Linked DNA regions of Caenorhabditis elegans. The protein of the gene in region 1 purifies or fractionates together with the protein of each later gene. This does not show direct contact. Each region holds a gene or a part of one and is shown on either strand. Other genes may lie near its edges.

The links. The genes of interacting proteins can lie anywhere in the genome.
Region 2: the proteins of sams-3 (region 1) and nhr-216 fractionate together in Caenorhabditis elegans (co-fractionation; one large-scale study listed by BioGRID). This does not show direct contact.

Annotation. Positions count from the first base shown.
Region 1 is NC_003282.8:5,846,822-5,850,578, reverse strand, and holds the start of sams-3 (putative S-adenosylmethionine synthase 3), read right to left. Parts: upstream 1,923-3,757; 5' UTR 1,892-1,922; coding exon 1,820-1,891; intron 1,775-1,819; exon of another isoform or gene 1,740-1,774; intron 1,692-1,739; coding exon 1,631-1,691; exon of another isoform or gene 1,262-1,630; coding exon 1,139-1,261; exon of another isoform or gene 1,038-1,138; coding exon 655-1,037; intron 604-654; coding exon 194-603; intron 148-193; coding exon 1-147. UniProt on the Caenorhabditis elegans protein: Catalyzes the formation of S-adenosylmethionine from methionine and ATP. The reaction comprises two steps that are both catalyzed by the same enzyme: formation of S-adenosylmethionine (AdoMet) and triphosphate, and subsequent hydrolysis of the triphosphate.
Region 2 is NC_003283.11:5,357,179-5,360,935, forward strand, and holds the start of nhr-216 (Nuclear Hormone Receptor family), read right to left. Parts: upstream 1,695-3,757; coding exon 1,659-1,694; intron 1,048-1,658; coding exon 928-1,047; intron 879-927; coding exon 778-878; intron 1-777.

The DNA.
Region 1 (3,757 bases):
CCGTTTGAGATCGTTTTTCCTCCAATCTTTTTAAGAAGTTCAACATCAATCTGAAGATGACGTGGCTGCTCCCATGGGAATTCATTGTGTCCAAAGTGTCCGTTCTCAGCGGTTGGTTCATAAATTGGTTTCTTCAAATCGAGATCCCTGAAACTTTACAATTAACAAAAATATTAGTTTGTGGCTGACATACTTAATAATCATTCCAGGTCGCAAATCAAAGTTGTCATTGACAATTTTCAATAGTTCTCCTTCGTTCAACGCAGATGTCCCGAAAGAGAACACCATCACTGAAAGTGGTTTGGCTACTCCGATTGCATAAGATACTTGAACAAGACAACGGCGACAGAGTCCTGATTTGACAAGTGACTTGGCAACCCAACGAGCAGCATATGCGGCAGAACGATCGACTTTGGTTGGGTCTTTTCCAGAGAAAGCACCTCCTCCGTGAGCTCCCCATCCTCCGTAGGTATCAACGATGATCTTACGTCCAGTAAGTCCAGCATCTCCCATTGGTCCTCCAATAATGAATGATCCACATGGATTGAGATGATAGATGGTCTTGTCGTCGATGAGATTGGCAGGAATTACAGCTTTGATAACCTAAAACCGAACAATAAATATAGCTGTATTTTTATTAATATTTTTAATTACCTTTTCGATGAGTTCCTTTCTCAAATCATCGAGACTGATATCTGGAGAATGTTGGGTGGAGATAACAACAGTGTGGACGCGTAGTGGGACACATGCTCCTCCTTCCGAAGCATATTCGATTGTGACTTGGGTCTTCGAGTCCGGACGAACCCATTCGAGCTCTCCAGATCTACGGAGCTCGTGAAGCTTCCGGTTCAGCTTGTGAGACAAGAGAAGAGTCAATGGCATCGCTTCTTCGGTTTCATCAGTAGCATATCCAAACATAATTCCTTGATCTCCGGCTCCGACATCGTCACTATCCTTGTCCACGTGGACTCCAGCAGCGATTTCAGGTGATTGTTGTTCGAGTGCAACAAGAACATTGCATGTCTTGTAATCGAATCCTGAAATTGAATACTGTATTTAATCAATAAACCAAGAAAATGAGATTCCTGACACAATGTGATGAGCCAATAGTGTAGAAACGAAATTATATTCTTCATACCTTTCGAGGAATCATCGTATCCAATTTTCTTAATGACGTTTCGGACGAGAACCTGGTAGTCGACGACAGCTTTCGAGGTGATCTCACCGCACAACATGATCATACCCGTTTTAGTCACCGTTTCTGTAATCAAAGTAACCGTTGTAACAGGTAAAGAAACATATTGTTGCGATAAGCTTCAGCCCCGTTTCCCGCATCATCCAACACCCGTAGAGCCTGAAATCAGAGACATGAATAGGCGATAAATGCAAAAGAACTACAGTGAACGGTACGAGTTCACTGTTGATCCTTCTGCAAATCAAATTCACAACACAAATATCAATATCATGTTAACACGATGTGTGTGTACTGAATGTGACCGCCTGACTTCCATGTCTTCCGCCGAATCTCTGAACGTTGTTAGGGGATAATAATTAGGACTTTTGCTCATCGCAGTTCCATATTGTTGTTGAACTTTCGCTGAAGGATATCAAGAAGTCCTGAACCACTTACCACATGCAACCTTTGCGTGAGGATCTTGAGCCAAATGAGCATCAAGAACAGCGTCCGAGATCTGAAAATAGAAATCTTCGTTTGAGAAATGACGCGAAGAATGGCTGACATCAAAAATATATACGCATTTTCGAAACCATGAAACTAAAAAAAACCTGGCACCTTATTAATGTTTCGTTGGTTACTTACCTGGTCACACATCTTGTCAGGATGCCCTTCAGAGACAGATTCGGAGGTGAAAAGGAACTTGTGTTGCGACATTTTGTTTGGTTGTAAGGTTGAAACACTTCGTCTGAAAATAGTGGTTCGGTTTGGATTAATAAATAGAAACGGAAAGGGAAGAAGGAACGAATAAGAGGCGGAGCACCTCGTAGCAAAACGATCAAGTTGAATAAACATTATTTTTTGCAAATAAAACTACTGTGAAATGTTTGAAATGAAACATTTGAAGCCATAATAGAGCCCAAAACTGAAAATTAGAAAATCGATAACTAGCCACATACTCCCAAACTCAAATAGCTTTTGTAAATAATTGTTTCGAATAAAATAAAATTTCTGGTAATACAAAGAATCCGGATAACACATGAACATTTACAGAAATATCTGGAGAAAGATTATATATGGCTCGGAACTTTGTTGAGCAGTTATTTTAGCGAAAAATTAAAATATTCGTGTAAATTTAATTAAAATTCTTGTGAAAATTAGAAACAAATATGCGAAAAATGCACAAAAAAAAGGCCCAAAAAATCCAGAAATTGTCAAAGTCCGCAAACACCGTGAGCAACTGTCACGTACAATGCCCAACACATTACGACACTTGTAAAAACACTTTTTTCCATTTTCTTCATTTTCTATGCAAATTTCTATAAATCTGCTGGCTTTTTTGAATTTTCGTCGCATTTTATTCGAATTTTAGCCGATCCTTAAACTAGAATTTAACAGCTGTCTCACGGATGGCGATAAATGTTCTAGATTAGATCTGTTTCGCTAATTAGAAACTGGAAATATCTGAAAGCTTTCCCCTATCATGAATAGATCGAAATAATCGAGATATGAGATTCCTAGATATCGGAATTAACAAGAAAAGTTACGGAAAAATATCGAATATCGTATTAATTGTTTTTTCTGCTTGATTAGGTTTAAAAAGGCTTTAAAATCCGTTTTTTTCAGTGAAAAATCACTGTTCTATTTGAGATATAATTTATTTTTCTATTTAACCCACGTGTTTGTTAAATACGATTAAACATTTTGGAAGTAGTTTCATCATTCTTACAGTTTCTCGATAATTGAGCAAAACACCATGACAAAAAGCAAGTGAGACTACAAACTTAAAAGTACAAGGCCAATTCTTATTTACCAAGTTGCTATTTGTTCTAAATTAGAACCTGTTTTCTTGATTCCTTTGCTTTTTAAAGTTTACATTACTGATAATGGCTACTATAATCCGTTCCTAAAGTCTAGAGTATTTGCTTTTTTCATGTTGTGGAAACTGAGCTTCTGCGCTTTTACAAAAGGGCAAAGTCTATTGATTTTCTGCAAATTGAATAGTTTCATGATCATATATCCATTAGCACAATTACACTGTTAGAGGAAATAAAAACAAATATGAATTTGAGGAGAGCGATGAAAATCGTATGATCAAACATAAAAAAGTATGTCAAAGTTTTGCAATAACTTTGTTCAGGCCGATTTTGCCCTCTCGACAGCTTTTTTTCTTGCAAACGATGTTCTGCACAATAGTATAGGCTGGGAATGATCTTGTTGCAATAATAATACTTTTAAAAAGAATTGAGTAAAAACGTGATAACATAGTGAACTCGGCTATATCCACACGTGAAAACGTGAAATTTTATCAAAATTTCTCGGAGTGCATAACATTAAAAAAAACATTGACCGTTTCATCGTCGAAGAGTGTAAGTGAGTTGTCTTTATCTGCTGAAGCTTTCAATAAGGTTCAGCGAGACTTCAATTCCGAAGATTTTTTGTCCGTGTTCCCGGTTCATCTGTACAATCTTCGAACGCATATTTCGAAAGTTTTAGACATTTATTTTTCTAGATTGTAAACGTCGCCTGTCTTGTTCTCTAAGACTTTTATATATTTTTCCTTATCTCGATTTATGTTCTTCA
Region 2 (3,757 bases), on another chromosome or scaffold:
AACTTTTATATTTTGCGCAAAAATATTTTTTTTTTTTGCAATTTTGTGTTGTATTCCGGGTACTGAAATTAATTTAAAAAAAGTTAGAGTTTCAAGAAAAAATTTTTTAAAGCCGCTTTCATAGTATAGATATTTTGAAAGTTTCCCAAAACTTTGGCTGAAAATTTTGAAAAATCAATTCCCCAATGGTCACTTTACCGTATCCTTAAACGTGAAAAAAATGCATAAATTGTTCTTCAAACTTTTGAATCACATATGCCTAGAAAACAATTTCCAGATTAAAATTTTAGTTCAAATGTTTTAGAACAAAATTGATAGTGAAGCACCTGATAACTTCCTTTGATCGTTTAATAAGCTGTACTGGGCAGTTTTATCATTTGAAAATGCTTTACATTACAGAAGTTCATAATAAAATTTTCTTTCGGGTTTAGACCTTATTGTAAATCCACTAATAACTGTTTTGACTACTTGCACAGACGTCTGAGAATCGAGTATGAGTAACTATTCATTTTGTAAATTGCCTAATTCATTATTGTGAAATATGTCTGTTTAGATACCAATTCACCACTGTCGGCTCGTGACACCTATTGTTCTCTGTTTGAAACTTATCGCAGCGTGATAGAATATGAACGGACTGACAAAATAATATCATTGGTTTGCGAAAACATAGAAAACGAAAAAGAGAAAACAAAGAGAATTCTGAATAAAAAAACAATGACATGCAAGATTAGTTCAAATTTAAACCGAAAAAATGTGAATAGTTACACCTATTGTTACCGGAAAAATGCGGCGCACGGCCGGCAAGTTTGAACTCCAAAGTGCATTCCATGAGCTTCCAGATTGCAAACCCGACATTTTTGTTTTGGCCCATTGTTTTCCTGAAAAATGTGTTGAATTTGCAGAGCTGGCAAAATTGGTTAAGCTCACGATTTCTGGCAAGAACTGAACATGTTGATCATATGTTGGATAACTTGGAGGCTGCTCAAATGTGGGGGACCGCTCGAAACTGGAAATATCCAGATTCGCATACTCGTACCGGGGATACATCTGAAAATTTATGTTTCTGGAAGCTTATTAGAGTTTTAAAGGTTTTTTTAAGAGTGGAGATAGGGTTTTCTAATTATTCAAATAATTTTGACGAAATTTGAAACACAGAACGAAACATTTTTTGATGTGTTAATAATGACGAAGCCGTTGACTTTAAAAAAAGCTAAGGCTTATCCTTAGGTTTAAGCTTAGGCTTAGGCTAAGCTTTAGGCTTAGACTTAGGTTTTGGTTTTAAAAAGGTTTTTAGGTTTTAAAAAGACTTAGGCTTATGTTTAAGCCTAGGCTTGGCGTCACCACTGACGATATTTAGGGTTAGGATTTTCCGTTTTTTTTTATTTTTCAGGGGGTTCCTGTTTAGACTTGGCGTCAGTGGCGAGCGTGAGCTTGGGCTTAGGCTTAGCTTTGGGCTTAGGTTTAGGCTTAAGTTTTCCTTCTCCCCAGTTTAACGGGAAAAATTGGCATTTTCCAATCGGGCCTAACTTTTAAAGTTTTTCTGAAATTTTAGAAATTGGATTATTGTTAAATTCTATTCGTATTTCTGATTCTTGTTTAAAAAAGAAAGTTCTTTTTCTCAGTATTTGCAATGTATTTTCTTTAAGCAATAAACAAACGCTTGGATCGATATAAATATTGCTGCTGCTCTGCATATTTAGTACAGAAATCAGTGAGAGTACAGTAAATTAGAGTAGAAGATTCTTGTCGCCTATTTTTGAATGTGTAAAATACGATAAATGATCAGATGAGAAGTGGGTGGAGTCTATCTCCATTGGGTTATGGTTAATTTTCGTCGCTTCCGAGAAAGCTCAATCCTCTTGAAAACAAATGTTATCTCAAAGAAATTGTATCTTTTATCCCGCGCGACTTCAAAATTCGTTTTCAAAAATTGGAGTCAAATATATATGAGAAATGAGTAAAATGAGTAAAATGACTCAGAAAGTCATACCCTCTTGAGAAAATTGCGAATAGCGTAAAGCTCAGGAAAAACAAAAAATGTGCAAAAATATCGGAAGTGAAAATGATGAAAATGTGAAAGGAAGCCTAATATGCTTGATAATTTGATAATTCGGTTGGTTTGTCTGTTCTGAAAATGCAAAGGGATTTGGAATGGGTGGAGCAGAACTTAAGAACTTCTTAAGAGTGATGTATGACATTTTGGACTTTTTGAAAAAAGATTAGGATTTTCCATATCAAGATTTGAAAAGAGGGTCAATATTTGTGCTGTCTGTGGTTTTTCATTTGATTTAATGTATTGGAAGAATACGCGATTGGTACTTGCTAAGATGGAAAAAAAATGAATACAACTATTTTTTTTTGATATTTATATTTGAATGAATCTATTACATATTTCTGAACAGAACAATGTTTAGCCGCTTTAGAATTGAAAAATACCAAAATAGTTCTGAAATTGGAAAAAGTTTGCAATAGTTGCTAATTGTGAGCATTTTTTGAGGCATTCATATATACAGCTTTTGATTTTTTTGTTACGAGATTTAATAAATATTTTTTTAAAATATTGATTAGAAGTATCGACAATAGGGGTTCTGTATAAAAAAGTGGAAAATGCCCCGAAATAACCGAAAATGACTGAAAAACACTTTTTGAATTTGTCAAAAATTTTGTTGTCTAATTTTTTAAATTAATTAATTTTGATTACGGTGCGGCTTTGGCCTCTGAAGAAAGTGAAATAAAGAATAAAATTTAAAAAAACACAAGACAATACAATGAGGAAAGGTCTCGTTTTTTTCTGATAGTCAGTTTTTAATGAATTTTTTGAATTCAGGCTCAAACAAATTACCTAGTTTTGAAATTTTGAGTTTTTTGAATATTTGAAAAGTTCTAAGTTCAATTTTAATCTGAAATCTTTATTTTTATCAAAAGTCAGAATTTTTATGAGATTAATAATTCTAGCAGAATGTGAAAATAAACAAAATAAACAAAATTTCAGAGACCACTTTGATTCTGTTCTGTCTGACTTAAAATTTGTATTACGTAAATTTTTGAGAAACAAAAGCCATATCTAGACAGAGACTGATCATTGTCTCAGATAAGGACTTATTTTCGAGCAGCGCCAAGTTTCAAAAACCTGTAGACACTTAGACTTCTGGTCTCCACATAATTACTACTTGGCTGAATATTGTTTTAGCAGCCCACCGAGAATTGGAACAAGTGTTCGTGTTTTGGTGTTATTCTGAAAAAATGGATAACAAGTTAATCTCGAATCTAGGTGGGTGGCTGGCTGATAACCGGAAGGCGGCATGAATGTCTGGCGGGGTGTATGTTTTGTCTAGCAAAGAAAAGAAGGAAAAAGAAGGAAAAATAAATAAAATAACTAAATGCAAATCTTGAGAACAAATTTTTCCAATCCCTTCTATTTCTGCACATAATTGATACTCAAGTAGAAAAAAAAACATTTTGAACCTGAAAACATATTTGAAGATTCGGAAATGTTTTCCACTTCAAAGAGTAATTGCATAGCATGCAGCACTTTCAAATAAGATCAAAATCCTAATCATTAGTCTAGGCAGGTGCAATTCAGTCAACGGGACATATTCCAATGATCTGGCAGAACTTTGTGTTGACTTGGAAATGTTTTGAGTATTATACTTCCAAATAGAGAGTCATTACGACTTTTTCTCACGCTTCACATCAGACAGAGCTTCTGACTAATTTTAAGATCGTCATTCAGAATAAAAAATTTTGAAGAAAAAAC